Saccharomyces cerevisiae S288C: one gene and its partners. Changing the gene in region 1 together with any one later gene gives a genetic interaction. Each region holds a gene or a part of one and is shown on either strand. Other genes may lie near its edges. The genes, in order: ESS1, CTH1, JLP2 and GAB1.

What was found.
Region 2: of ESS1 (region 1) and CTH1, extra expression of one rescues a mutant of the other (dosage rescue), as found in Saccharomyces cerevisiae (2 studies listed by BioGRID).
Region 3: mutations in ESS1 (region 1) and JLP2 impair growth when combined (synthetic growth defect), as found in Saccharomyces cerevisiae (2 studies listed by BioGRID, with this or other methods).
Region 4: mutations in ESS1 (region 1) and GAB1 together harm fitness more than expected from each alone (negative genetic interaction), as found in Saccharomyces cerevisiae (2 studies listed by BioGRID).

What each region holds. Positions count from the first base shown.
Region 1 is NC_001142.9:463,853-471,400, forward strand, and holds ESS1 (peptidylprolyl isomerase ESS1), read right to left. Parts: upstream 3,182-7,548; coding exon 2,669-3,181; downstream 1-2,668. Other genes in the region: YJR015W (uncharacterized protein), read left to right, coding at 1-401; dihydroxy-acid dehydratase ILV3, read right to left, coding at 599-2,356; TES1 (palmitoyl-CoA hydrolase), read right to left, coding at 3,380-4,429; REC107 (Rec107p), read right to left, coding at 4,703-5,331, 5,412-5,727; U4/U6-U5 snRNP complex subunit LSM8, read left to right, coding at 5,932-6,261; methylthioribulose 1-phosphate dehydratase MDE1, read right to left, coding at 6,378-7,112; BNA1 (3-hydroxyanthranilate 3,4-dioxygenase), read right to left, coding at 7,286-7,548. UniProt on the Saccharomyces cerevisiae protein: Essential PPIase specific for phosphoserine and phosphothreonine N-terminal to the proline residue.
Region 2 is NC_001136.10:760,592-768,454, forward strand, and holds CTH1 (putative mRNA-binding protein CTH1), read right to left. Parts: upstream 4,565-7,863; coding exon 3,587-4,564; downstream 1-3,586. Other genes in the region: NUM1 (Num1p), read left to right, coding at 1-3,283; GIR2 (Gir2p), read left to right, coding at 5,115-5,912; ENT5 (Ent5p), read right to left, coding at 6,145-7,380. UniProt on the Saccharomyces cerevisiae protein: Binds to specific AU-rich elements (ARE) in the 3'-untranslated region of target mRNAs and promotes their degradation. In response to iron deficiency, promotes the decay of many mRNAs encoding proteins involved in iron-dependent pathways.
Region 3 is NC_001145.3:532,882-540,524, forward strand, and holds JLP2 (Jlp2p), read right to left. Parts: upstream 2,690-7,643; coding exon 2,063-2,689; downstream 1-2,062. Other genes in the region: DPI35 (Dpi35p), read left to right, coding at 1-146; ribosome biosynthesis protein RRB1, read right to left, coding at 282-1,817; REC114 (Rec114p), read left to right, coding at 3,326-4,567, 4,684-4,728; ERG29 (Erg29p), read left to right, coding at 4,957-5,670; glucose-induced degradation complex subunit GID8, read right to left, coding at 5,808-7,175.
Region 4 is NC_001144.5:1,055,788-1,063,783, reverse strand, and holds GAB1 (GPI-anchor transamidase subunit GAB1), read right to left. Parts: upstream 6,451-7,996; coding exon 5,266-6,450; downstream 1-5,265. Other genes in the region: seripauperin PAU4, read right to left, coding at 503-865; YLR460C (uncharacterized protein), read left to right, coding at 2,897-4,027; NBP1 (Nbp1p), read left to right, coding at 7,013-7,972. UniProt on the Saccharomyces cerevisiae protein: Component of the GPI transamidase complex. May be involved in the recognition of either the GPI attachment signal or the lipid portion of GPI.

The DNA of each region.
Region 1 (7,548 bases):
CCTTTGGTAGAGGTGGCTTCGTCGTATATTGGATGTCTACGTGGCTCTTCATGCTTGCTGCGGGAGGAGCTAACGAAAATGCGGTTATGCTTGTTATTACGTTAGGACCCCAGTATCTCGGGTTCTGGATCCTATCATTTGTCATTCTCAATATTGCACCTTCTTTCTTCCCATTAGCGCTAAACAATAATGTTTATAGATATGGGTACATGATGCCCGTTCACAACGTCATCGATATCTACAGGGTTATTTTTTTTGACGTGACAAGACGCAAGATGGGTCGGAATTATGGTATTTTAGTCGCACTCATTGCCTTGAATACGGCACTGTTACCATTTGTTGGCAAGTATGCTAGTAGAAAACTAAAACAGAAGGCTTTAGTGGCAGCAAAGCAGAGTTAATTTCGTAGATTATAATTAAGGCGACTTTTCAAATAAAAAAATACTGATCGTTGTTTTTTTTTAAATAAATGTTTATCCATTCAATGGACTATAATAAATATTTATATATATATATATATGAAAAGATTGCGAACAAAAAAGATGATGGAAAAGGAGAATCTCTATATATATATTCATCGATTGGGGCCTATAATGCATCAAGCATCTAAAACACAACCGTTGGAAGCGTTGGAAACCAACTTAGCATACTTGGATAGAGTACCTCTTGTGTAACGAGGTGGAGGTGCAACCCAACTTTGTTTACGTTGAGCCATTTCCTTATCAGAGACTAATAGGTCAATCTTGTTATTATCAGCATCAATGATAATCTCATCGCCGTCTCTGACCAACCCGATAGGACCACCTTCAGCGGCTTCGGGAACAATGTGGCCGATTAAGAACCCGTGAGAACCACCAGAGAATCTACCATCAGTCAACAATGCAACATCTTTACCCAAACCGTAACCCATCAGAGCAGAGGAAGGCTTTAGCATTTCAGGCATACCTGGTGCACCTCTTGGACCTTCATATCTGATAACAACAACGGTTTTTTCACCCTTCTTGATTTCACCTCTTTCCAAGGCTTCAATAAAGGCACCTTCCTCTTCGAACACACGTGCTCTACCCTTGAAGTAAGTACCTTCCTTACCGGTAATTTTACCCACAGCTCCACCTGGTGCCAATGAACCGTACAGAATTTGCAAGTGACCGTTGGCCTTGATTGGGTGGGAGAGTGGCTTAATAATCTCTTGTCCTTCAGGTAGGCTTGGTGCTTTCTTTGCACGTTCTGCCAAAGTGTCACCGGTAACAGTCATTGTGTTACCGTGCAACATGTTGTTTTCATATAGATACTTAATCACAGATTGGGTACCACCAACGTTAATCAAATCGGCCATGACGTATTTACCAGAAGGTTTGAAGTCACCGATCAATGGTGTAGTATCACTGATTCTTTGGAAATCATCTGGTGACAACTTGACACCCGCAGAGTGAGCAACAGCCACCAAATGCAAAACAGCATTAGTGGACCCACCGGTTGCAACGACATAAGTAATGGCGTTTTCAAAAGCCTCTTTTGTGAGGATATCACGAGGTAAAATACCCAATTCCATTGTCTTCTTGATGTATTCACCAATGTTGTCACACTCAGCTAACTTCTCCTTGGAAACGGCTGGGAAGGAAGAGGAGTTTGGAATGGTCAAACCTAGCACTTCAGCGGCAGAAGCCATTGTGTTGGCAGTATACATACCACCACAAGAACCAGGACCTGGGCATGCATGTTCCACAACATCTTCTCTTTCTTCTTCAGTGAATTGCTTGGAAATATATTCACCGTAGGATTGGAACGCAGAGACGATATCGATGTTTTTAGAGATCTTCGAAGAACCACATGTTGGATGACCGGGCAAGATAGTACCACCATATACCATGATGGAAGGTCTGTTATGTCTACCCATGGCCATCATGACACCGGGCATGTTTTTGTCACATGATGGGATGGCGATGTTAGCATCGTAGTGTTGTGCCATCATGATGGTTTCAAAGGAGTCTGCAATGATTTCTCTACTTTGTAACGAGTATCTCATACCTTTAGTACCCATAGAGATACCGTCTGAAACACCGATGGTGTTGAACTGCATAGCTTTCAAACCCGCTTTTTCAATGGATTGAGAACATCTGTTATTCAAGTCCAATAGATGCATGTTACATGGGTTACCGGACCACCAACAGGAACCAACCCCGACTTGAGGCTTCTTGAAATCTTCCTTCTTGAAACCGGTGGCATAAAGCATGGCCTGGGACGCACCTTGGCCCTTAGGTTCAGTGATGATATACGAGTACTTGTTGAGCTTCTTTGCAACGCATCTCGTTGTAGAGAATTGTCTAGATGTAGCAACTTTCGTTAACAAGCCCATCTCTACTTTTTTCTTGGCTGTTTACAAAAAAATACAAGAATCCGTTACTAAAGATTACAGGCGCTACAATGCATAATAAAACTTCAGTCTCTTCTTTTGTTACATTATATAATATACTACTATATTACTGAGTCATCTGGAGAGGAAAAGAGAAAATTTTTTTTCAGGCCCGGTTCCGCTCGCAGCGAAGAACAGCGCCATTTAACTATGTGACTAGTTAATTTTTTTTCTTTTCATGGGTTCAGCGAGGACGGAATGGATACAAGAGGGAATAAGAACATAAAAAGGTGAGGTGGAGAAGCAAATGCCAACCTAACCTACCCGCTTGATCACATGAACACCGCTTCCTGATTCAACGATATCGCTTACCTCGCCGACCTTGAGCTGGAAGGCAGCGTCTTCAAAGCTAGGCTGCATCTCGCCTCTCCCGAACCAGCCGAGGTCGCCGCCTCGCTTGTATGAAGAGCAATCTGATCTCTCTTTAGCCAGGGCCTCGAAGGAGTTCGTCTTAGAGTCGTCATCCAACCTCGTGATTAAGGTTTTCAGTTCGTCCGTAGCGTCTTGCTTGGATATCGTAATGTTCTCGGATCTATGCGATGCGGGTCTTCTTGAATCCTTGTGCTTGATGAGAATGTGCAGGCATCTTACACGCACTGGATGGTCTCTTAAGTGCTTGTGTAGCTGGTCCTTGTTGGTGCCCTCAGGCTCCTCCCATTGCGAGTGCTTCGTCTCTGGATTGAAAAAATACTCTCTTTTCTTGGACTTACTATACCTGACGGTCCACGGGGTTGGCAGCCCGGTCCTCGATGCTACGTCAGATGGCATTGGTGCGTCGTTGTGGTGCCGTAGTCGGTTATGCGTGGGAATAAGTACCACAATGATCATTCAGGTCCTTTTTCTACTTAGATCGAAGGGAAAAAGGTATGATACCCGCTCGTGAAAGGTGATGTAATAATAAATAGGATATTATTATATAATATAAGAATATATATGTATGTGTTTATACGTGGGAGGGAATTGTCCTCAGAACTTGGCTCGAATGTCTCGTTCTGACCCGTAGACAACGTAGCCCTCCTGAGAGACGCTTGCCATGATGCGTCCCGACTGTGTGTCGAAATACTTGCCCTGTACGAGGTGCTTGTCCCAGTGGGACCTGGGATTCGAAATCTTAAGATAGATCCAATTGTTCACATGAGGCAACTGGTGAAAGTAAATCGTGTGGTCGAGCGAGACACTGAAACTGTGGCAGTACAAAGGCAGGTTGTGGAAGTACGGGATCGTGAGTAGGAGGTAGGAATCGGACAGATACGCAAAGGCCACGTAGTTGTAGCGAGCGTCGTTCTCAGGAGTAATGCTCTTCGGGATCCTGTACGGATGATGCTTGTGTAAAGAAGACTCGTCGCCCGCGTGCTCCACGGTAGTGATGGGAGGTCTCACTTTGACGAAATAATCCAGCTCGTCGGTGTGTCTTGCCGAGTAGAACATGTCCTTGGGGAATTGGTACTCCATGACTCCGTATTGAAACGCATCCACATACTTGCTCATCGAGGTTGCGTCTTGGAACCTGTCGGACAATGAGGCATACCTGCTCAATTTCTGTGGGTCCAGAACTTCTTTCTGGAAAAGCGAAGTGGCCTCTTCATAACGATGAGGGTCTGGCTGCTTACCTTGCAGGCCTGGAATCGTCTCCCAGTGCTGCAAGGAGTCGTGCTCCTTGGACCGTTGCACGGCAAATAAGATCATCGACGTAAATATCAACTTGTCGTGCTGATAAGCACTAACCTGCTTATGGATGAAATTTCTACCGTTTCTCAGATTCTGCACATGGTACGTGATCTTGGTCCGCGGATCACCACCCTTGATGAAATACGAATGTAGCGATGTGGGGAAGAAGTTCAATGGCACAGTATGCAATGACGCCAGCAGCGATTGTGATACCAGCGTTCCACCAAAAGTGCCCTTAGACCCTACGGGCGCGGCAGGCAGATACTTTGTGACAAAACTGGTAGGCGAAAGAGGAACCAGTTCCAATATTTTCTCTAGGTTGGACATGGCCATTTTGGAAGCACTCATTTTTATGCAATCTTGTCTTATCTTGTCTTGCTCATGGTGGATACTGAATTGAAACCCTTTTCTGGTTTATATCCAACTGGCGTGGTTTTTCATTGTAGGATGAGGCTCGGTGTTTATGCCGTCTCTTCCGAGGATGCAATCAAAGGCTCTCTCCTTTGTTGGGGTAGTAGCAAGTCCAATAAGCAACGCTTGTTTGTTGATTGGGCCGATTTACATAGCCTATACACTGCTGTTACATATGCCTGTGTAGAATGAAAAAGCAGGACGCCCGTTTCACAGCTCAGATTCCAGAGTGTCGGGTCTTAGTTCCTCCCAGGGAATAATGGTCCTGGCCGCACGCTTCAGCCGATGGCTAGCGTCATCATTGTCTTCGCTATTGTGGTTTTGGCTGGTGGATAGGGTTGGGGAGCTGGATCTTCTGCGTTTCATGGACCTTGTGACCATCATTCTTGGTGGCGGCACGGACTTCTTACGCTGCTTATCGTGGGCTTCGTCCATATCGTGCAGGAGTGTGGTGCCATTCAGAGACACATCCGGGCGATCGTAGGCGTGATCTGCCTTTTCTCGAAACGCCATCTCTAGAGCAGTCTGGCGGGTTTGTAGACTGTGCATGTCTTTGGATAGAGACAGGAGCACTTTATGCACGTCCTCCAGTTGGCTGCCGACGTTGAAGAGCATCTCCTGGGTGCACCTCATCGACTTTTCCGTCTCATGCTGCTTGTTAGTTACGTGTCGCGTTATCTTGGAATTATACCTGCTTATTTCTTCGACTAATACCTGCCTGTAGCTGGAATCCGACTTTGTCTTCTTCTCGTCGCCTTTCGATAACATTGCTGTTGACACTTTGTCCAGTTGGTTTTCAATCTGGGAAGCCAAATCCTTTATTAAGGTTTTCACGTTTCCTATACTACAGTTGTTAGTAAATGTGTTTTGGAAGAAAATGAATAAAAAACTTGAGGGTATGCACTGTGTTGGTACGAACCGTTCGTAGCAGCATCTTGTTCCAGTAGCTGGTTAAACTTGTTTAGCGATTTACATAATGTCTTAGAATTTTCATTTAAAACTTTAATTAGCTTGTCAGAGTTTTCCCTCAGCTCCATACTCTCCAATTCCAGTTTACCTGCCCATTCCAGTATCTGCTTGTCCGATTCCTCTAAAGCGCCTGCATTCGCTACTTTCCCACTGTGGGAGAATATAGATCTGAACGGTGATGATGTTTCTGTAATCATCAACGAGTGTTCAGAATTAGCCTCTGAAACATCTGTAGATATCTCGTCTGTTCTACCTCTAGCGACCATTTTACTAAATGTTTCTACACGTCTGCAGTATCCTTGTTTTGCTTGTTTTCCTTCTTTCTGTTCTTGTTGATTTTCCCTTTAAGTCCTGAAAATACTATCATGGCGTAAAGGGAAAAAAAAAAACTAATCTTACGTGGTTCTTATAAGATGGACCAGCAAGCTGCATACAGTACACCATACAAGAAGAACACACTATCGTGCACCATGTCAGCCACCTTGAAAGACTACTTAAATAAAAGAGTTGTTATAATCAAAGTTGACGGCGAATGCCTCATAGCAAGCCTAAACGGCTTCGACAAAAATACTAATCTATTCATAACCAATGTTTTCAACCGCATAAGCAAGGAATTCATCTGCAAGGCACAGTTACTTCGAGGCAGCGAGATTGCTCTTGTTGGCCTCATAGATGCAGAAAATGATGACAGTCTAGCTCCTATAGACGAAAAGAAGGTCCCAATGCTAAAGGACACCAAGAATAAAATCGAAAATGAGCATGTAATATGGGAAAAAGTGTACGAATCAAAGACAAAATAATATAGTTGCAATAATAGTAATAATAATAATAATAATAATAATAATAATAATAATAATAATAATAATACCATGTATAGAAGTATATAAATCATACAATAAATTTAAGCATTAACCCGTCACGGACTGGCCATCTTCAGATGCTTCTTCTCTTCGCCAATGCCACAGTCGGGAGGAATCCCCATTTGGTACATCTTTATGGCCAGCTCCATCAAATAATCGATGGCTTCGTTGAAAATTTTGGCCTTATCGATTGTCGGACCCCAAACAAAAATGCCATGTCTCCTCACAATTACGGCGCATGTGTCTGGATAATCTTTAAAAGTCTTGTGCAAGTCATCGATCAACTCGTCCTCATGCGCCATGTTTTCAATGATGGGAATCTTCAGCGTATCAAAAAACGATAGCGCCATGGGTTTCTTGGTCACAGGGTCCACCTTTCCGCTTGGAATTGCTTTGATTTGTTCGATGTTAGCAATCCTGAACTCATCGCCAAATAGCAAGGAGCATATCACAGCATTTTGGGAGTGTGTATGTATTATAGCACCTGCATTTTTCTTTTGGTAGCACGCTAAGAACAATGGAGTACATGCGCTTGGCTTGTAAAGCTTGGGAGAGCGCAAATACTCTAATGTCTGAGCGTCCATGACAAACAAATCCTCAGGTATCATCTTCTCCTTCTGCACCCCAGATGGGGCGAGATAATAATAATTCGTGTTAGGATCTTTTATTGAAATCCCACCTCCAGTTCCGGTGCACCAATTATTATGAAAAAACTGCTTGCATAGCGTGCAAATGAGATTTGCTGGATGGCACGGATCATCTGAATGTATCAGAACATCTTGTGAAGACATAGTCGTTCACTGGCTCCCCTTGTTAGTTCAGTGCTTAAAAACGTTACATATCTTGATGAACAGCTAGCTGCTTTGATCAAGAGAAAAAAAAAAAAAATTGGCACCGCATCTTAGTGCCGCAATCTTACGTAACAAGAGAGCTATAAAAGTACAACTAACAACTCTTCTAATACTTAATTAGATTGAGGGCGTGCGTAGTTTAACGTCTTGCAATGGAAACATGTCCTCTTTTCGACATCATTTTCAAAATCTAAAATGGCTTCTTTCACTTGGGTACCTAAGTCTAACATTTGCAGTTCACTCTCGTGGACCACTTGGCGACAATGAGAACAGTACCACCTTATCTTATCGTTTTCTCCCCCAGGCCTATCTTGTTCCACAACAATACCCACAGTATCAGCAAACCGAACAGGACTGTGAGGAACATTTCCTGGCA
Region 2 (7,863 bases), on another chromosome or scaffold:
TAAAATCTTAAATATTCTCGGTGATCCATCTATTGATTTCCTGAAGGAAAAATGTGAAAAATATCAAATGCTCATAATTAGTAAACATGATTACGAAGAAAAGCAAGAAGCCATTGAAAATCCAGGCTACGAATTTATTTTAGAAAAAGCATCAGCACTGGGATATGAATTAGTTAGCGAGGTTGAGCTGGATCGCATGAAACAAATGATTGATTCACCAGATATTGACTACATGCAAGAAAAGGCTGCCCGCAATGAAATGGTGTTGTTGAGGAACGAGGAGAAGGAAGCATTGCAAAAGAAAATAGAATATCCCTCTTTAACATTTTTAATCGAAAAGGCTGCTGGAATGAACAAAATACTTGTTGACCAAATCGAGTATGATGAAACTATAAGAAAATGCAATCATCCCACTCGGATGGAGCTAGAGGAATCCTGTCATCACTTGAACTTGGTTTTGCTCGACCAAAACGAGTACTCAACTCTAAGAGAACCTTTGGAAAATCGAAATGTTGAAGACTTAATTAACACCTTGAGCAAACTAAACTACATTGCAATTCCTAATACTATCTACCAAGATTTAATTGGAAAGTATGAGAATCCAAACTTTGATTATCTAAAGGATTCTTTGAACAAAATGGATTACGTCGCAATCTCTAGACAAGATTATGAATTGATGGTTGCTAAATACGAAAAGCCACAACTGGATTATTTGAAAATTTCTTCAGAGAAAATCGACCACATTGTAGTGCCTCTGTCTGAGTACAATTTAATGGTTACAAATTATAGAAATCCCAGCTTGAGCTACTTAAAAGAGAAAGCCGTTTTGAATAATCATATTTTAATAAAAGAAGATGACTATAAAAACATTTTAGCAGTATCAGAACATCCGACAGTGATCCACCTCTCCGAAAAGGCATCTTTATTAAATAAAGTCTTGGTAGACAAGGATGATTTTGCGACCATGTCACGCTCGATTGAGAAACCAACTATCGATTTCTTATCCACTAAGGCGCTATCAATGGGGAAAATACTAGTTAATGAATCTACGCATAAAAGAAACGAGAAACTATTATCTGAACCAGATTCTGAATTTTTGACAATGAAAGCCAAGGAGCAAGGGCTAATTATCATTTCAGAAAAGGAATATTCTGAACTGCGGGATCAAATAGATCGTCCTAGCCTAGATGTTTTGAAAGAAAAGGCCGCCATTTTTGATAGCATCATAGTAGAAAACATAGAATACCAACAACTGGTAAACACTACAAGTCCCTGCCCTCCCATTACTTATGAAGATTTGAAAGTATATGCCCACCAATTCGGTATGGAATTATGCCTCCAAAAACCCAACAAACTTTCTGGAGCTGAGCGTGCAGAGCGCATTGATGAACAATCAATAAATACGACCAGCAGTAACTCGACCACAACATCGAGCATGTTTACAGATGCACTAGATGATAATATCGAAGAGCTTAATCGTGTCGAATTGCAGAATAATGAAGATTATACTGACATAATCTCGAAATCATCCACAGTGAAAGATGCTACCATTTTCATTCCCGCCTATGAAAACATCAAGAATTCTGCTGAAAAATTAGGCTACAAATTAGTTCCGTTCGAAAAATCAAATATCAATCTGAAAAACATTGAAGCTCCATTATTTTCGAAGGACAACGATGACACTAGCGTTGCCAGTAGCATAGATCTTGATCACTTATCTAGAAAAGCAGAAAAATATGGTATGACCCTCATTTCTGATCAGGAATTTGAAGAATATCATATACTAAAAGATAACGCGGTTAATCTGAATGGTGGCATGGAAGAAATGAATAATCCCTTGTCAGAAAATCAAAACTTAGCAGCAAAAACCACAAACACAGCGCAAGAAGGTGCCTTCCAAAACACCGTTCCCCACAATGATATGGACAACGAAGAAGTCGAATATGGGCCGGATGATCCAACATTCACAGTAAGGCAACTCAAGAAACCCGCTGGCGATCGTAATTTGATTTTGACTAGTAGGGAGAAAACACTGTTATCAAGAGATGATAATATAATGAGTCAAAATGAGGCGGTTTATGGTGACGATATATCTGATAGCTTTGTAGATGAAAGCCAAGAAATCAAAAATGATGTAGACATTATTAAAACTCAAGCTATGAAATATGGTATGTTGTGTATTCCTGAAAGTAATTTTGTGGGTGCATCATATGCAAGTGCTCAAGATATGAGCGATATAGTTGTGCTTTCCGCGTCCTATTACCATAATCTAATGTCACCTGAAGACATGAAATGGAACTGTGTTAGTAATGAAGAATTACAAGCGGAAGTTAAAAAGCGTGGGCTCCAGATTGCACTAACAACAAAGGAAGATAAGAAAGGTCAAGCCACGGCATCCAAACATGAGTATGTGTCGCATAAGCTAAACAATAAAACATCTACTGTGTCCACAAAGTCTGGAGCAAAAAAGGGACTTGCAGAAGCAGCAGCAACAACTGCTTATGAAGATTCCGAAAGTCATCCACAAATAGAAGAGCAGTCTCATCGTACTAATCATCATAAGCACCATAAACGTCAACAGAGTCTGAATTCTAATTCAACCTCAAAAACCACACATTCATCGAGGAATACGCCAGCATCTAGACGAGATATAGTAGCATCATTTATGTCACGTGCAGGATCTGCCAGTAGGACGGCATCTTTACAAACTTTAGCATCATTGAACGAACCAAGCATAATACCCGCGTTAACCCAAACCGTCATTGGGGAATATTTGTTTAAGTATTATCCACGCTTGGGACCTTTTGGATTCGAATCACGTCATGAAAGATTCTTCTGGGTTCATCCATATACCTTAACTTTGTACTGGTCCGCTTCTAATCCCATCCTAGAGAATCCTGCCAATACCAAAACAAAAGGTGTTGCCATTCTAGGAGTAGAAAGTGTCACAGACCCAAACCCATATCCAACAGGATTGTATCACAAAAGTATTGTTGTTACCACAGAAACTAGGACTATTAAGTTTACTTGTCCTACAAGGCAAAGACACAATATTTGGTATAATTCATTACGTTATTTACTTCAAAGGAACATGCAAGGGATAAGTTTAGAGGACATCGCTGATGATCCAACAGATAATATGTATTCAGGAAAGATTTTCCCATTGCCCGGCGAAAATACAAAGAGCTCCAGTAAAAGACTTAGCGCATCGAGAAGGTCCGTATCTACAAGGTCTCTAAGACATAGAGTACCACAAAGCCGATCATTTGGCAATTTACGATAGTTAAAAAAACTAAATAACTCTAAGTAAATTAAGAACAATAATAATCATTATTTCGATTTTTAGTCCTGTAAACACGTTTGCCACCGATGAGTAACACTGAAAGATCAGAGAAAGAAAAAAAAATTCTACCTAATGAAATAAATAAACTAAAAAGATTAAATTAACTAATTCTCATGTTAGTAGGTCACGAATTCTTTAATTTTGTTTTGTGACTGAAATAAATATGAAAACGATAATGAATAAATAAATAAGGAGAGGCAGCAGAAATACGCCAAATATTCAAAGGGCTTTGTTGTTGACCGACTACCAAGTCATCCTTTGCAATGCTTTAACACTAGTATGTAAGTTCCTAGGCTTACTCAAATTAGTGATATTATCGTTGTTGCTTGGGGCTAGGGAAGTAGGAAGTGGAGTCAACGCCGTATCCTTACTTCTTCCATCGTTAGCATTTTGATATATTTCAACGTCCTTATCATCACCGTGTTTGAAACAGCAACGCTTACCGTACGGACAGTAGCCTAACTTCGACCAATTTATGCAAGGTTTAGTTCTATAATTGTTTGATTTTTTCTTGAATTTCAGTTCATTAAGACCATGAGCAAATTGGCATTTATTTCCATACTTACAATAGCCTTTAATAGTAAAAGATTCACAGAGCTCAGTTTTGTATAAGGTCTTATTGACTAATTGAGGAAGCTGCAAAGGTGCCCTTCTACAAGGTTCCAGTTTTGTTGTTTTCTGAATTGGAAGTGTGTATGGAAGTCCAGTAGACTGAGAATCCACCTGAGATAGTTTTTGTAAATTCTCCGCTGTCAGGGGTAATGAAAATGCACTTGTCGTGTAAGTAGGGTTAATCTCAACTTCGAGTGACCTTTTCTTACGTTTTTTCTCAGTTGTAGCAAGTGTTGAGATGTTATTATTGCCTGCGAAAGGGTTATTAATAGGTAATGTATTTGTAGGTCTGGAATCTGATATGATCAAGTCTTTAAAATCTCCCAACGGATGATAACAGTTTGGTTTGGATGGTAACCAAGGAGAAGGCCTTGGTGAGTATTCACTTAAAATGTCCGTTTCATTTATATTATGCCCCTCGGAGCTGCTGCTGTCATCATTATCGGTATTTTCATTGAGCAGTGTCTTTATATAATATTCTTCGATTTCTTTAATCTTTGACTCGTACTCCTTGTTGAGATCAGAAAAGATCGAGGACGTAGTCGTTGAGGTCGAATTGGCATTCGGTATGTTTAAATAGTAGCTGTTTGGAGCAACATTCGGCATCATGGCTAGTGTTAATCCTTAATAGTTCTTATTGGTTGAGTTGCCGAAGAGACTGTGATATAGGGTTCTACGGCTTTACAATCAACTTATGGGTGAAGAGGCTAAATAAGATGTGACTTGTTAAGAGAGCAAGCGCAACAAGAGTGCAAAACCGTCACACTATGTCCAATGATCTACACTATCAACCTTTGAGTTAATGTTCTCTGATCCAGTATATTAGTAACTGCTCACACTGATCAAGAGCGTGAGAGAATACGAGCGAAAAAGAAAGAAGAAAAATTTGGGTGCCATTGGCACAGACCCTAAAAGAGATGTGAGAGAAGTGGGCCATATATGTATATTTTTCCCGAATGTCCTAATAAGTAATGATTGGAAATCCTAGGTCTATAAACTCGGGTAACAGAAGGTGGAAAATGAAAATTTTCTATTTTCCAATTGTAAAATCAGCAGGCATCGTTAGATTGGCTTTAAAGAGCTGAGTTTCCCATGCTGTCGGTTGGTATAATTTAAGGAAAAGCCCTCCCTCCATATCCAGAAGGCACTTGTTAATACTATGGATTATAAGGAAGAACAGAAGCAGGAACTAGAAGTTTTAGAGTCCATTTATCCTGATGAACTGAGGATCATAAACGATGAATACCCAAAGATTAAATTTGAAGTAGCCATTAAATTAGAGCTGGATACAGGTGATTCTACTTCTGTTTTAACCAAAGAGCACACTATAATCGCCGAATTCAAGTTACCAGAAAACTACCCTGACGAACCATGCCTGATTTCATTGGAAGCTCAAGAAGTAGCCCTCAATGACAACGAAGAAGATAACGAGGAAGATGAAGACGAGGTTGAATATGACGACCATGGTAATAAAGTACTGAAAAAGTTTGAAAACCTGCCAGATTTAATAAGCTTTAAGGGGTACTTGCCTGAATTAACCGTACAATTAGAATCGCAAATCGAAACCGATATGTTATTGGGTATGCAAATGTGTTTTGCATTGATTTCATCCATAAAAGAAAGATGTGAGCAATGGTATAGTGAACAATTGAATAAGCTCGAGAAGCAGTACGAGCTGGAAGCACAAGAACGTGAAAAGAAGGAACAGGCCAAGTTCCATGGTACTAAAGTCACAAGAGAATCGTACTTGGAATGGAGGTCTAAATTTCGCCAAGAACTGAAACTGGATGAAAGAGACCAGGTGAGAAGGATGAAGGCTCATCATGGGAAGCTAACCGGTAAGCAAATGTTTGAACAAGGCGTGGTGGGCACAGGCGACGAGTATATGGAAGAGGATGACGCGAGTGTAGATGACGTAGCCAAGGGACTTGCCAAGACCGAAATAGCAAATCAATAAATACTTGTGTACTTAAGTATTTAAGTATTTTCTTCTGCATGGATAATGACATATACAAATGTATCTATATAATATTTTTTTGATATTCAATAAAAAGAAAACTGACATTTGAAGAAGGAAATAGACAAGTTTTTAGTAAGATATTATTAGTGTATATATGGATACATATATCTGAGAATGAAAATTTGTTGACTGTATTGAATGTATTGGGAGATGAAGGGGTATTTGGTGATTAGACCAACGACTTGGAGTAAGAGAATAAGTCGGAAAATGCATCATTTCCCTTCGACTTGTCCTTTGTAGCCTGAGGACGGGCTTTTTGCTGTTTTTTCTCCGCAAAGGGCAATGATGTTTGCGCAGCAGCGGTGGTATCTGTGTCTGACTTTGGGCCATCCCAGTCAAGCAAATCATCTATTTTACTATTGGAAGTTTTAGGTGCTGTTGTGTCGGGACTCGTTTCGCTTTGGAAGTCGCCAAACTCATCATCATCATCATCACTATTGCTGTTGATATTATTGTTTTTGTTGTCATTATTACCATTGTCTATTGTTATATTATTCGTGGTGCTAGTACTATCGTCAAGATCGATTAAGTCAGGGATGCTATCTTGTTGTTGCTTTCTTTTCCTCTGCTGTTCTTTATTTTTGATCTGCTCTCTTAATATCTCCCTTCTTTGTCTTCTTTGTTCTTCCATATGAGAACGCCTGCGAGTATTCGAATTTGCTTCTGTTTCCACAGGAACATTGAAGTTGGTCACATTATTAGCATCCATTTCACTGTCAAAGCCATCTGCATCTGCATCAAATTCATCGTCGTCGATGTTATCGTAACTTGCAGACGTTGAAATCTGGTTGGCATTATAAATGGAGGATTCTCCTTGCTGTCGAATTTTCAAGGCATTCTTCTTATTCTTGGCTCTTTCCTTTTTCAAAAATTGTGAGTCTTCCAAGTATTGCAAGATAAGTTCTCCCTTTTTCCTAATACCTCTCTCATGAATCTCCATTTTACCATCATTGGAGAATTTTACCTTGAATTGGGCAATCTCCCTGGTTAAAATATGCTTATGAGTGAGCAAACATGATCTAATCTGATTCAGTTCGTCACCTGTGTCGACGTTCAATAATAGGAATTCAATGACTACTAGACATTTTAAGACCACCCTCCATTCGGACCCATAATTAACGTAGTCCTTTCTTGCCTTTTCGTATAGGTTCTTGGGCCTGGTAGCGATATGGTCGACTAATCTTTTCAACGTGTATTCTGTCATCAAGTAGAGCGGCACTTGGTATCTGTTCCTTAAAACCTTGGCGAGGTGCTTCGGTGTGGGGCCCCAAGCATCGGTATTTGTAGCACGACGGATATCTATCTGATAAGGCTCATATTGGACTATCACGTTTTGGGCAAACCTTGCGGCATTTCTAATATCATGGATACCTAAATTTTGAATCTTTTTTGATAATGAGTCCATTTTGTATGGTGTTGGTATTTATGCAATTGGAACGTTTAATTTGTGTATATGAATTTCCCTTCCGATTTGTATATTGGATAGAAATATAATTTTTTAAAAAAAGTAAACTATAAGCAGCCTGGAAAGATAAGCTAGACCAATTCTTATTGATAAAAAACTAAAGATAAATTCAACCGAAAACTAAAATCTAGATTGAAATTAAAACAAGAATGAATGAATGGATCAAAGGACCTGAATATGAAAAAAAGTGCAGGAGAAAGAAAATTTTCTCGCTGTGGAAAATAAGCCGAAAATCCGTTACCTAGAGGAAAGAAAGAAACGTGGGAAAAACAGGGGGCGGTACCCGGCGGCGTCAACTTAACAGGCATAACCTAGGCGGTAGTTGGCTAGTTGGCAAGCCTGGCAACATACTCCGATATAGGTAGGAAGAGTTAGTTATAAGAATTGATTGTCATACATACACATACCTTATACATATACATA
Region 3 (7,643 bases), on another chromosome or scaffold:
ACGAATACAAGCTGTCAATTGATAAAATAGATAATAATTCAATAAACACTTGGGAAGCCAATACTAAGCAAACTGACACGTTACAGTTGAGTGAAAGAAAGTACGTTGTTTCGAATCTTGAGGTTTTAGAGGAACTCTTTCCCTGAGCGCCTAACGTTACAGTAACAAATATGTATGATAGATATTATTCATATCCGCCAGTAATATTTACTATATCTTTGAATGGGTTTGTTTATTAATAATCTACTATGTGTAAATATATGATCCAAGTATTATACAGTTTAGACACTGATTGTTTTCCAGACGTTCAAACCGTCAGTACCGGTACTTACTAAACAACCTGGGATTTGCTTATGCCATTTGACATCTTTAACTTCCTTTTGCCAGTGAACAAACAATAATTGTGGTGGAATTTCTTGTAGCTCTTTTGTTTCGGCGGCCTGTTGTTTAATTTCCTCATCGTCAGCTTCTACAGACAAATCCCACAAAGTCACAGTATTATCTTCTGAGCCTACCGCAACGATAGACTCATCTAATGGGTTGAATGCAATGGAAGTAATGGCTCCCTTATGGAAGTCATATTGAGCAACCGGTTGGACGGCGTCAGCATTACTTGGCGTAAACTGTCTTAAATCCCATACTCCCCATGTACCGTTATCGTCACCGCTTGCTAGCAAGTAACCAATTTTATCACTCCAACTTATGACATTTACGTCAGTATTAGAAGCTTTAACAGAGATAGCAGGTTTATGTTTTTTTGATCTTGTGTCCCAAATCCTTATATATCCATCACATCCTGCGGTTGCAAAAACGGTGGATTCAGTGCGAGACCACTGGATATCTTCTATGGATTTATTGTTTGAAACAGTAAATGGTTGTTTATCAGTCACCCATCTCGATGTGTGCCTTTGGGTAAAATATATTTGTCCTGAGCAATCACCTGATAGTAACGCACCAGTCTTGATCAATGGTGACCAATCCAACCCGTAGCCTTCAACATTCCCATGATTTTTTACAGTGTGAATAGGACGCTTAGCAGACTTCGGAATCTGATAACCTGGTGTGGAAAAAGCTTTGCTTTGTGGAGCTAGATTGTATATATAAACATCACCATTTTCGCTCATTGTAGCGGTTAACACCTCTTGATTAGAAATGGCAAAAGGAGAAACCTTTAATCTATTGGTTGTATCTCTCAATGGTATATTTTCATTCTCAATGACTGGATCCACATCATCTTCATCATCCTCTTCATCATCTTCACCTTCATTATCGTCTTTCAAAAGTGTTTTCGCTAAATTAGAAAGTGCTAGAACCATTAGTTCATTCTCCTTTTTCCTGGAAGATTGAGTAGCCGTGGTCAACAAAATAGACTGTGGATAGTTTCTACGTTCAGAACCTAGTGTATCTGGAATGACATCTAATGTCAAGCATGGCCATGGCATATTGACATTATGTAGCATTTCATAAACAGTGGGATCAGCCTCAAGGACTTCATCTGGCCCTAATGGACGAGACATATGGGGTAAGTAAAGCTCCTGGATCTTTTCTTTGTTGCCTTCGGATTGGTCCTTTTGTACTAAAGTTTCAGCTTCTTCTTGCTTTTTCCTAAGGTCATCTTCGTCATTAATCTCATCATCGCCATCAATTTCAATAATTTCACCATCACTATCAAATTCATCACTCAATTGTTCTTCTAGGTCATTCTTGGGAGCATCTTGCTCTTCAGAGGCGGGAATAGCAGGAACAGAGTGAGATTCTGTTTTAGCAGAGACCACTCTATCTTGTTCCTCGTTGACCTCGATAGACCTTTTCGACATTATGGTGCTATTTCCGTGTATATGAAAACGGAGAGTAGGTGATATAACTATTTACCTACAAATTCAAACAACTACAATCCCTATAAGAAATGATCATCTCATCGCTAAATTCAGTTGGATTTTATTTTCTGTATTTTTCGCTGAAAGGAAAAAAATTTTCACGGCTCGAACGAAAAAAGAAACGTGATCACGATGTAAGTACAAATGGTACTCTATTTTGAAGCGTCTACGTTATGTAGATGATATCATACTTCCAGTTGCATATCGTCAGTAACCTCATCTTTAGACTGTTTGTTCTTCTTCTTTTGGTTTTTTTTCGCTACTTTCCTTAGCTTTTCTTCTTCAATAAGATTTGATCTATTCGACTCAATATAGTTTACAAAAAAATCACCATTTTTGGTCTTCTTTGCTTCGTTAAGTGTAGCTTCCACATTATTAAATAGTTCTACCCTTGTCTTGGCCAGTCTGTTTAGTATTTTGTTATCTCGTGCTCCGCATTCCATTTTTCTACATTGTCTTAGAGACTTAAATGATACTTCACCGGGATTCATATACCTGTTTTTTCTCAAGTTATGCCATGGTGTTATCAAGATGGTGCATTGTGGCATTTTGTTTCCTTGAATGGATTCTGATTTACATAGCTGCAGACAGTCACATATCACTTCTTGCGGTATGTCATCGATTGTTTTTTCATTTGGGCGTAACTTTAAATAAACATGACCACTTGAGTACTTATCCGCGTGAAACCAAACATAGTTTAACTCCCTATAGCTCCATTTGATAAGTAGATCGTTTTCAAACTTATCTTTGCCCATCACAATTTGGTAAGGTGTTGAATACTCAGTTGGTTTTGATTCATAGAAATACACCATTGTTATTGAAAAGTTGAATTTCAATTGAGCCTTATAATTCTATTCGCTTACTTTCTAAATTTTAAGTATAAGGCAGTCCTCTGGTCTACAGAGTTGTTTTGTTTTTTTATCCAAGTTCTTTGTTTCAATCTTATTGTAGTTTTTTTCCATTAAAATATTAAAGCCTAGGATAATCTATATCCTAAACTAAATATAAATTAAGAGTATAAAAGATGAAAGTAAATAGCATCTAGCATTCAGAAAAAATAAGAAGTCTCTTTTCAAATGATTGATCGAGCACAACGAATGTTTTCAAACCACTGTTAATTTTTTTATAGATGTAATGACTACTTATATGTTCTACGATGTGATTTTGTAGGAATAAAATAAAATTCAGTTTACCGTCTGCATATTCATAAACACTTAAATGACTGTTAAAGTATTCAGTATTTTAAATAATAATAACATAAATTATTAATACATACTTAAATACGAAGCCCATTTTGGTGGGTTCCTGAAAGAATATCAACTTTTTTTTACTAATAGAGAATTTCGTTACAAGGTGGGCGGCTAACTTATAAAAAGCAAAGGAGAAGGTTTTAACATATCGTCAAGTTAAGTTTGAAAGAGAGAACTAAAATAAAAAAAAAGAGAAAAATGTACGAGTACTGCTCAGTTGTAATAAAGAAATACTCCAAGTATACAATTCCCTCCTTCGCTCCAAATGGTTTTCAATCAATGCTTGAGCCTCCTCAGATAGACAAGTGGCAACACCTTTCCGCTAACTGCACTCTCCAATTTCGGGTTCTTCTAATGGACTCTAGACAAATTCTGATCAATGTGGTTCTCAATAATTCAACACTTCTCGAAAATATTCGCCTGCCGCTGGGGGATAATCAAGATTTAATACAATTTTCATGTAAAAGCCCCATAATCTCTTGTAAATATATCTCCGAAGAATTCGGACCCAGAATGTTAAGGAGGTTTCAGATGAATTTGCCAAATGACGTTGAGTTCAACAGGACTGTAGTTTCTTTAAAGAACCTTAATTTTGTTTTAAGGACAGCTAGGACATCAATAGCCCAGAGTACAATAACAAGCCAGGTGCAAGGCAATAATAACGGTACAAAGGTCTGTTTCACAGAAGGTCCAAAAGTTAGTAGCTACACAAATCCGAACACGCAATTTCAAACTCAAAACATGATTATGGATTTCAGTCAACGTTATCAGGAAGAATCTGAAAGAGAGTCAAATAATCGTTCAAATATAACTTTACCACACGACAGCATTCAAATAGCTCAACAAATATGGCCAAACACGGATTTAAATGTAGTACAATCTTCACAAGACCTCAACACTCCAATGGCTACGCAAACTGTTTTGGGTCGTCCTGAGTCGCTAATTGTACAGCCATTGGAGGTTTCTCAATCTCCACCAAACACTACCAACTGCCTTCCTAATGCAGAAAACAAAAAGAAAAAAGTCGACACCACTTCTGATTTTACTTCAAGAAAGGAGATTGCTCTGTGTAAAACTGGTTTATTAGAAACTATTCATATACCAAAGGAAAGGGAAAGTCAGATGCAAAGCGTCACTGGTTTAGATGCAACACCAACGATTATATGGAGCCCCGGGAAAGACAACACGGCGAAGAAAAATACCAGTAATAAGAAAAATATTGATGATAAACTAACAAACCCCCAAAAATCTGGAAATACACATACCCCTGATAGAAATAAAGAAGTGCTACCTAACGGCACACTTAATGAAACGAGGAAAGAAGCATCGCCAAGCGAAGGATTAACGATAAGAGTTAAAAACGTTAATCGGAATGCGTCAAGAAAAATATCTAAGCGGCTAATCAAGGAAAAGTTGAAAGACGAAGAATTCATGAAATGGGTATGTATGCATTTGCAAGAAACTGAGCTGTTTCCCCCTCTTATCCACTCATTTTCTCTGACTTGACAAAGAAATACTAACTAACAACTTTTGCCACTACAAATATGAATGAAAAGGTTAATAAGGTTGAAACGGTTCTCAATAAAATGTTCGAAAAGTGAACCCTTTTTTTGCAATTCCTTTTTACACTAGCCACGAAGTAAAATGGAAAAGTAAACCCGAGTTTCGGCAATATCGCTAAGCAAGAAGAGCAAGCTCGTTTAAGTAAGCCTTTATGAAAAAAAAACAAAATATAAAGCATTATAAAAATTGAATCACATCGCAAATCTGCAATATACTTGGAAGTGTTTATAGCAAAGTGTGGTATAGAAAAAGAACCAAAGGCCGGTATGTCGTTAAAGGATAGGTATCTAAATCTCGAATTAAAATTAATAAATAAACTACAGGAGTTGCCATATGTTCATCAATTTATCCATGATCGAATAAGTGGTAGGATAACTCTCTTTTTGATAGTGGTTGGTACGCTTGCATTTTTTAACGAACTGTATATAACGATCGAAATGAGTCTTCTACAAAAGAACACATCAGAAGAACTAGAGCGTGGAAGAATCGATGAAAGTCTGAAGCTTCATCGGATGTTGGTGAGTGATGAATATCACGGTAAAGAATACAAAGACGAGAAAAGCGGTATTGTTATTGAAGAGTTCGAAGATCGCGATAAGTTTTTTGCAAAACCTGTGTTTGTATCAGAATTGGATGTCGAATGTAATGTTATTGTAGATGGGAAAGAACTTCTGTCCACCCCATTAAAATTTCATGTTGAATTTTCTCCAGAGGATTATGAAAATGAAAAAAGACCTGAGTTTGGTACTACCTTGCGTGTATTGAGGCTGAGACTTTACCACTACTTTAAAGATTGCGAAATATATCGCGATATAATTAAGAATGAGGGCGGTGAAGGGGCAAGAAAGTTTACGATTTCCAACGGTGTCAAAATTTACAATCATAAAGATGAACTACTGCCATTGAATATCGATGATGTTCAATTATGTTTCCTGAAGATTGATACGGGAAACACGATAAAATGCGAATTCATACTATGAAAGCTTCCAAAAAAAAAAAAGAAAAATCAATTGCTAAATGCATACATGCAGGTAGGCACACACACACACACACACACACACTCACTCACACATGCACACGCACACACACATATATAAATATATACGTACTATGTATGTCAGTTTTCGACCCTAGGAACCCCTATTTGGTTGTGATGAAGCTGATTTTCGCACCAACACCACAGTTTCATTATCTGCGTCAATCTTGGTTCATAGGGAAATTCGGAAGAGTAGTAATTATTGAATTCTAAACCTTTTTCCTTTCCATTTGAAGAGGAAAGCAATTCAGAAGTTTGATTCCAGTAATTTTTATTTTCTAAGTTATGAAAAGTTGTCGCCGCTGAACCTGTGCCAACATTTCCATCCCTTTGATTTAGCCAAACTGAATTAGCAGCAGCCGTGACCTCGTTGCTTGACATCTTTTCGTTGATAGGTTGGTCAGACGAAATGTGAGTTATTTTTGTACCATTTGAACCATTGACGAGATTGTTGTTATACACCGTGAAGTTCTGCGTAATTATTTTCTTGTCGGAATTTAACAAATCTGGAAATTTGGAATTATTATTGCTGATCTCAAATTGAATCCTTGGATGAATAAACTTCAGCAGCTTCTCATTAACCAGATCTGCTATCTTAGATCTTAGAGATATCGAGTACAGATTTTGTAACGATTTGGGCAGCTTAATGCTGCCGCTGTCCGCCGAATCTGACAAGGGGAAAAGCAGCAGAGTCATTGCTAATTCTAACTCTTGCATCTTTTTGACACTTGACGAAGCCTTTATTGCAAGTTTATTTTGAGAATACTGAATTAGATTGAGTATAAAGTCGTTGGAATCCTTGGTGATGTTCTCCTGTTGATGGTGACTTCTTATCATCTCGATCAAATTCAGTAACAGCAGTTTGAAGTGTAAATCTCCATCTATGTCAAACTGCTGCTGCTGCTGCTGCTGCTGCCTGTCAGTTCTACCCGTATAACTTCCCGTAGCATTGAAAGTCTCTTCCAGCACCTCCAGCCCGAAGATAGAGTTTATCTCCTCCATCGCCTCATTGATACGCCCCAGCTTAATAAGATGTTTGATATGGAAACGCTCCTTGATCTTGTACAAATCATTGAAAACCGCAATGTCTTTGTTGTTCCGTATAAATCCCAGCTCCTTGGCCATCCTAATGCTCGAGTCTTCATATGCCATAGAAACAAAGTAGTTCAACAGAAGCCGTGGCAGTGTGGGCTCTATGGGTGTGGTCTGTATGGTAGCAAATCCCTCGTCCTGCGAGCCGCCACTGCTGTTGGGCTGAATTTTCAGCGGATAATGTATTGTCTTATTTGCATATAGCTCGCCCATGGCAGAATACTTGGCCACCTGCTCCTTCCATTCTTCCTTCGTGAAGCACTTCTTTCCATACGTAAAGTCTTTCCCACCATTCTTGCCTTGGCCGCTGCAAGATCCGCTCTTCGTGGTCTCGTTACTAAGAGTAGATATAGTCATTTCTATTTGTTACCACACACAAATATATCTTCATCCGGCTGATATTTGTCTCTACTGCCCCTTTGCTTGCAATTTAATGACCAAATTACACATGTTAGCTTCAAGAAAAATGATGTACCATCAAAATGTCTCCTGCAACGAACCGGGGCACCGCGCCGGCAGAGTCAGGAAAGCGAGATCGACACTGATAGTGATAAACAGCAACACAATGGAGCGATTACCATTCACTCGGAACGGATCCGGACAACAGTCAAATAAACTCCGGGATCCCAAAAAGGGCCGTACACACAAACCCAAGCCGAGCGAAAAACACAAAAAAAATAAAACAGGGAAAAAAGGAGCGCAAGAGAAAACGCACAGGAGTAGGAGCAGCAGAAAGGGGAACTAATATGGTTTTTCCGTTTGCTTATTTTTATTTTTTTGTTGAGTCATGGGCACGTCACCGCACAACAGCCGCCGCAGGCCTGT
Region 4 (7,996 bases), on another chromosome or scaffold:
TTACGGTTACACAAAAACTATCGCAACCCAGAAATTTTGATATTTTCAGTGTCAAAAAATGAGGGTCTCTAAATGAGAGTTTGATACCATGACTCCGTAACTCGCACTGCCCTGATCTGCAATCTTGTTCTTAGAAGTGACGCATATTCTATACGGCCCGACGCGACGCGCCAAAAAATGAAAAAAGAAGCAGCGACTCATTTTTATGGAAAGACAAAGTGCTGAGAAGTCATGCGCTTCCAATTTCATTATTGTTTATTGGACATACTCTATTAGCTTTATTACCATCCACCCTTTTTCTAGAATAGTGTAAAAGTTTCTTTTTATGTTTATCGTATTCATAAAATGCTTCACGAACACTGTCATTGATCAAATAGGTTTATAATATTAATATACATTTATATAATCTACGGTATTTATATCATCAAAAAAAAGTAGTTTTTATTTTATTTTTCATTACTTTTTACTGTCTATGAATTTTCATTCGTAGAGGCACTCGTCCCTAGTTTGCGATAGTGTAGATACCATCTTTGGATAGAGCCTTGGAGATAGCTGGCTTTAATCTGCTGGAGTACCATGGAACACCGGTGATCATTCTGGTCACTTGGTCTGGGGCAATACCAGTCAACATGGTGGTGAAGTCACCGTAGTTGAAAACGGCTTCAGCAACTTCAACTGGGTAGGTTTCAGTTGGGTGGGCGGCTTGGAACATGTAGTATTGGGCCAAGTGAGCTCTGATATCAGAGACGTAGACACCCAATTCAACCAAGTTGACTCTTTCGTCAGATTGAGCTATAGTGGTGGTTGCGGAAGCAGTAGCAGCGATGGCAGCGACACCAGCGGCGATTGAAGTTAATTTGACCATTGTATTTGTTTTGTTTGTTAGTGCTGATATAAGCTTAACAGGAAAGAAAGGAATAAAGACATATTCTCAAAGGCATACAGTTGAAGCAGCTCTATTTATACCCATGCCTTCATCAGTCATCACTATTTAAACGATTCGTTAACAGACGCTCATTTAGCACCTCACATATCCTCCATATCTCATCTTTCACACAATCTCATTATCAGTATGGAAATGCTCTTGTTTCTGAACGAATCATACATCTTTCATAGACTTCGTATGTGGAGTATTGTTTTATGGCACTCATGTGTATTCGTATGCGCAGAATGTGGGAATGCCTATTATAGGGATGCCGGGGTACCTTGAAAAACCCTTTTGCGCGCCTGTGATTTCCGTTTTCGGTCAAAAAGAATATCTGAATTTTAGATTTGGACCCTCGTACAGAAGTCTATTGTCTAAGCCTAATTTCAGTGCTTTAAACGGCTTCCGCGGAAGAAGCATTTCTATCTCTTGAATTCGTACAACATTAAACGTGTGTTGGGAGTCGTATACTGTTAGGGTCTGCAATTTGTGAACTCTCGGCGAATGCCTTGGTGCAATTACGTAATTGTAGCCGCTGAAGGCGGATGGTATTGAGAGAAGTTGATGTTCAAAGTATCGTGTATGATAAAAATAAAATTGTAACCAGTTCGTAGTAGCAGTATTAAAACTTTGCACAGAGGGAAATATTTGATTCCGAGATGTAATCCCTCTTTTCTAGCCAGATATGAAGGAGAAAAGTGTAAGGGTAGTAGAGAGCGCTACTTTATTTTATTTTATTTTAAAAATGTTCTCTAGGAAAGGTGTATTAATAGTTGATAAAAAAAGTATTTTGTCTTCTATGTTCATAATTTCAATTCTTGAATTTTGGAAATCGTGAAATGCTTCGAGAAACCGCCTTCAATAATTAGAAAACAAAATAAAAGATTACAATTAGGCCACTCAAAAATACAATTCAGATAAGAAAGGAGCGATAGTGGGGAGTAAGAATTGGAAATACCCTTGATAATCAGGGAAAACTTAAGGAACGGGGTGTTAAAAGTCTGTGAAGTATAGATCAAACTCGCACTAGCTAGCAATACTCATGAGAACCCATGTGAGTCTAAAGCTGTGAAACTTCTTTAGAAAGCAGAGCATCCTCTAAGTTAACAGTTTTCCATACTTATTCAGTATGGATCAAGTTCCACAGTTTGTCAACTTCTGTAAAATAAACTTGTAGTGCTTCTTCGATGAAAAGGGATAGAATCTTTAAAAGACTTGATCTTGGCATTTTTATCCTCCTTCAAGCAGAATGGCTCCAGTAGAGTTGTTCTGAACGCTTCTGGGCAGTGAGCAGCATTGAAGAAAAAGTACTCAGCATTCCAAGCTTTGTTTTCATATAATTATAAATTAAAACTCATAGCCACCAATTTCCAGGTTTTGGTCGCAATATGCTGCAGAGTCAATGGCTTGTTTCATTACTATACTAGTCCGACGGAGTTTACTTTACTCTAAATTTTCTGAAATAGAAAGGCCACACGCCATACAATTAACAATAGTTCATTTAGTTGAAAGGTTTCCGAGATAGAAAGTGCGGTAGTGGAGAAGAACAATAAACGTATCAAACTTTGCGCAGTCATGGAATTTCCAGGAAACATTTTTAGGTTTTCATATGACAGCAGTTCCTGTCCGAGAGCTGTGCCTTTCTTGTCTCAGCTGACTAAGATGTCTCGGATCCGCCCGGCTGACGCGCGGCTCCGTCTAGTGGGATAGGCTTTCAACACATAGAAAACCCTTCAGATGATGAGAACACATCGAATCCCAGAGAGTAATATCACTAAGAATAAAGCAACCATGATAGACGATATTACTAAGTGTTCCTCAACAGATATTGAGAAAAGTTCTTATAAAGCGGGCAGGCTTTTTTCTATTTTTTTCTTTTTCTTTATCTAGCTTAAGATCTTTCTAACCATATTCTATAAAATGGCAAGCTGAATACAGATTATCAACGACAATTACAGATAACCTACAAACATGCAAGTTGCAATTCCAGAAACCATGAAGGCTGTCGTCATTGAAGACGGTAAAGCGGTTGTTAAAGAGGGCATTCCCATTCCTGAATTGGAAGAAGGATTCGTATTGATTAAGACACTCGCTGTTGCTGGTAACCCCACTGATTGGGCACACATTGACTACAAGATCGGGCCTCAAGGATCTATTCTGGGATGTGATGCTGCTGGCCAAATTGTCAAATTGGGCCCAGCTGTCAATCCTAAAGACTTTTCTATCGGTGATTATATTTATGGGTTCATTCACGGATCTTCCGTAAGGTTTCCTTCCAATGGTGCTTTTGCTGAATATTCTGCTATTTCAACTGTGGTTGCCTACAAATCACCCAATGAACTCAAATTTTTGGGTGAGGATGTTCTACCTGCCGGCCCTGTCAGGTCTTTGGAAGGTGTAGCCACTATCCCAGTGTCACTGACCACAGCCGGCTTGGTGTTGACCTATAACTTGGGCTTGGACCTGAAGTGGGAGCCATCAACCCCACAAAGAAAAGGCCCCATCTTATTATGGGGCGGTGCAACTGCAGTAGGTCAGTCGCTCATCCAATTAGCCAATAAATTGAATGGCTTCACCAAGATCATTGTTGTGGCTTCTCGGAAGCACGAAAAACTTTTGAAAGAATATGGTGCTGATGAATTATTTGATTATCATGATATTGACGTGGTAGAACAAATTAAACACAAGTACAACAATATCTCGTATTTAGTCGACTGTGTCGCGAATCAAGATACGCTTCAACAAGTGTACAAATGTGCGGCCGATAAACAGGATGCTACAATTGTTGAATTAAAAAATTTGACAGAAGAAAACGTCAAAAAAGAGAACAGGAGACAAAACGTTACTATTGACATAATAAGGCTATATTCAATAGGTGGCCATGAAGTACCATTTGGAAACATTACTTTACCAGCCGACTCAGAAGCTAGGAAAGCTGCAATAAAATTTATCAAATTCATCAATCCAAAGATTAATGATGGACAAATTCGCCATATTCCAGTAAGGGTCTATAAGAACGGGCTTTGTGATGTTCCTCATATCCTAAAAGACATCAAATATGGTAAGAACTCTGGTGAAAAACTCGTTGCCGTATTAAACTAGATGACGAACAGATATTATTTTCTTTCATATACATAGTTATTACGTTTAGTTATAGTGACTTAGTTTTTTTTTTTTTTTTAATGAAATTGTTTGTTATTGATCACCCCTTGTAGGGGCAACAGATGAGCACAGTGAAAATCATAACTCATTATGTGATTCGTTGTGAGTAACCCTTCCATGATTATATATCCTAACTATCTACTATCCAACTACTACATATCTATTGAACTCATATGTACCAAGCACATAAATTTATGCACCCATTTCCATTGGCAAAGACTTGGCGAAATTTAATACACTGTAATAATATCCGGCGAAGCTCTTTAAGTATTCTTACCTATAATGGCGGCTCGCTGTCCGAACGATTGCGCCGCACTTTTCTGCCTCTTACATTCCTTTTTCCTAAGGCGATAAGCAGGCTGAATGGAAACTACAATATATTGCAATAGAGCTTCCCCAAGGAACTCCCACTTTCCTTGGATTATTACAAAGAGAGTTTTACCTTTTAGGTCATTCTCACAGCAGATCCAAATATGTAGAACCTGTTTTAGAACAACAAATAGAAATGATGTGTTACAGAGTACCGTTTAAACTGAGTCATCACGTAATATTCTAATTATGTTTTTTTTTTTTAAATTAGCTAATGTAAACAGGCTGGAATGTATGGGAACTCATCACTTCGTAACTGATTCCATCTTCTATCTACCATAACTTTAAAAAAGATTATCGATAGTCTAAAAATACGCGATACACATTCTTTCTTCGTCCGTTAATGATAAAGCTCTTTTTATGTTAATGTACATGGGTTGTCAAACTACCCTTCCCAAAAAGACAGCACAAAATATATATTTATGCCGTGCTATTCTATGATAATATATTGGCTTTCACCTAATGGAAGCCCTAGCGAAGATAACCTTTTTCATACGACTTTTGGTGGGAAAGAAATTGGCATAGTCCCAAGTACAATGTTGTTATTATGTAGGAGCTTAATCCGCAGATCATACACTCTATCTCAATTCTTCGTATTATAACGCTCATGATTAATTAGGTCCTTCTGAGTTCTATCTTTTCTCTCCGAGACAATATTATGCAAATTTTAACCAAGCAGTTTCTCTTAAAAAATAGATAGCCTCTGGAATAACCAATATGGCTCTCATATTCGCTTTATCCACTCTTACGATGAACATCTGTATGGTTCTTTTTATTCTAGTTTATGTACGTTTATAGACGGGAAGTAGTTAAATTTGTGTTACCTTCAATTTGAAATTTGGGATACCGTTATCGTATTCAATTCTCAGCATCGCCCAGTTCAAGTCAACTAATATAGATGCTATAGCCAGAGCATAAACTAGGGAAATAGCATAGAAAAAATTACTATTCCCTGAACCTAAAACAACCCAAAGATGATAGAAAATTGGCGCCAAAACAATTGCGTGTAAAAACAGTAATGCTGATATGATGGGGTATCTTAAATATCCAAATAGTGGCGTGAAGAAAGGTAGGAAGCTGAAGAAAAAACCAGCGTCACCTAGTGAGGGATATGGCTTTGTAAGGACAATCCACCCAATGCATAAAATGAATGCGTAGAATGGCTGCTTATGATAGCGCAAAGTAAATGGTGTAATGAATACTGCAATAAAAATGTTGAATACAGCCTTGAAGAACGGTATGAAGGTGTCAAACATTTCAATGAAGAAGTACCACCACAAACCCAGATTTGGAAAAACCTTCTCAAAGGTTATAATAGATCCATAAACCTGTGTCAAAAATGACCAACTTTGGCTGCCTAATATACTGTAGCTGAATAATAGCAGAATTAATAAAGATAGTATGGAAACAATGGCAGATAATATTCTTTGCCTCCAACTTTTCAGCATACCTAATAGCGGAATTAAGAGGAGAATAGGGTATACTGACAAATATCCAGATATAGAAATCATAACAGAGGACAAAAGAACGTTTCCTTCAGCTAATATGCAATACAATGACGATGAAATAGCAAAATTTGTGAATATGATTGATGACCGACTAATGCACGATAAAAGGGTCAAAGGATTCACGGCATAAAGAAGTCCAGGTAGCCAAACTTTCAGTTTCAAGTTTTTGAAAGCCTTTGTTACCTCTGTCAGCTGATACGCAATTAATCCATCAATTAAAGCGTATATGAGGGAAATTAACCTGTCGGAATTAAAGAGGGAAAGAAAAAAAATCAAAATTGGAGGATGGTGAACAACCCCATGATTATATACTTGGATGTTGTTCCGCAGTAGGTATATACCTTCCTGTAGTGACCTAAATGAAGTTACGGGAGTTGAGAATTCTACAGACTGGTCCAGTTGTTGTTGTAGAGAGGGAAAAAGGCTGTTCACAGCCAAACGAATTGCAATACAGCCTAGAGCTACCTTAAGTGCTGTGGAATCCATTGGTCTCCTTTTGGTGAGTTTTTCATATAAGATCACGTTGTTTATATGAATTACTGTTCTAAAACTGGTTAGTTTTGAAAACAAAGGTCATTTCACTTAATGGAATATTTGTTTTACCCGGAATACGTAACATATCGTTTGCCAATAGACGTCTTTAAGAAGGATGTTTTAGCTTCCTTTGAGAATTATGCTACCAATAATGCAGATAGATATGTTGGAAATAACTGTTTTGACAAGAGCTTGAGATTTACTTGTTTAATGTATACTCATATAGAAACATCGAAAACAAATGAGGAAAGAAATTGAGAGCTGAGATCAATGTTAATTTTCATTCATTTGATGTTATACCTTTACACTTTAAAAATAACTCATCCGAAACAGCCAATGGTCTATCCTTGACCTTCGCCAACGCCTCTTATACTTTCATTAGAGGCCACTCTAGCACAATTCGTGACGCGTCATAGTATAGAAACGATGCGCGCATCAACAATTATGAAATTATTGCTGAACATGAACAAGTAGATACTCTGAAGAGAAAGGTACAATAATAGACATTGGTAATATGCTAAAATCCGTACAGGGACTGTGGAAAGATTTTTTTGGAATACGAGATGATGGCAGGAAACGAGAATACGGGTCCCTTGATGAAGTGAGAAAACGATCTGCCTTAAGGAGCAGAAGAAAGCAGATGCGTCCTACGGGTAAAAGCGTTCTAAAAAGACCTAGAAAGGTGACAGATAGGAAAACTGAAGAAAAAATTCGTACTAACAGGAGGAAAACACCCAAACGAAGGTTAACAAAGATATTCCAGACAATCAGAGATGTTTTTTCCAATGATAATGAAAATATGAGCAAGATGCAAAATGTTTGTGGCGACATGACTAGAATTTTGAAGAAGAGATCCCAGGGAAGACCTTCTTATATGGACACAGATACAGCCAAATCTAGGATCCTAAGGAGTGATGCCTTTAAGAGAAAGATATCGGAGTTGAAATACAATAAGCAACGGATCAGTGAACTAAGAAGTGGTAGTTCTGACGGGTCGAGTGGAAAAGATAGAAATCAATCATTATACTTAGATAGAGAAATTCTTCTACAGCGGCAAATTAAGAAAAGAGATGAGAAAATAAAAGCCTTGGAAAGCAAGCTACAATCATTACAAGAAGCATTGAATTACTCAAATGAGAAGTACAGGATTTTGGAGGATTTACTAGATTCTTCAAACATTCATCCATCATACACCAAATCTAGGAGAACCATGTCTAATCTAGCTAGAGAAAACGATGAGATTAAGCCCTTGAAAATTGATCTTTCCCCGTCTCCAATAAGAAGAACGAATTCATTATTCACTTCCAGCCCCATGAAAACATATAATCGGGATGGAAATATACCAGAGATGCAGCCGTTACAGGAAAACATATCTCCCGCCTGTCCCACTCCACCCTATCGTTCAAGGGAAACTGAAAAAGAGGATGAAACACTTTCACCAATCTCAGTGGACTTTTCAAGTTATTTATCTTAATTTCTCCTGTGAAATTAAAAGTAT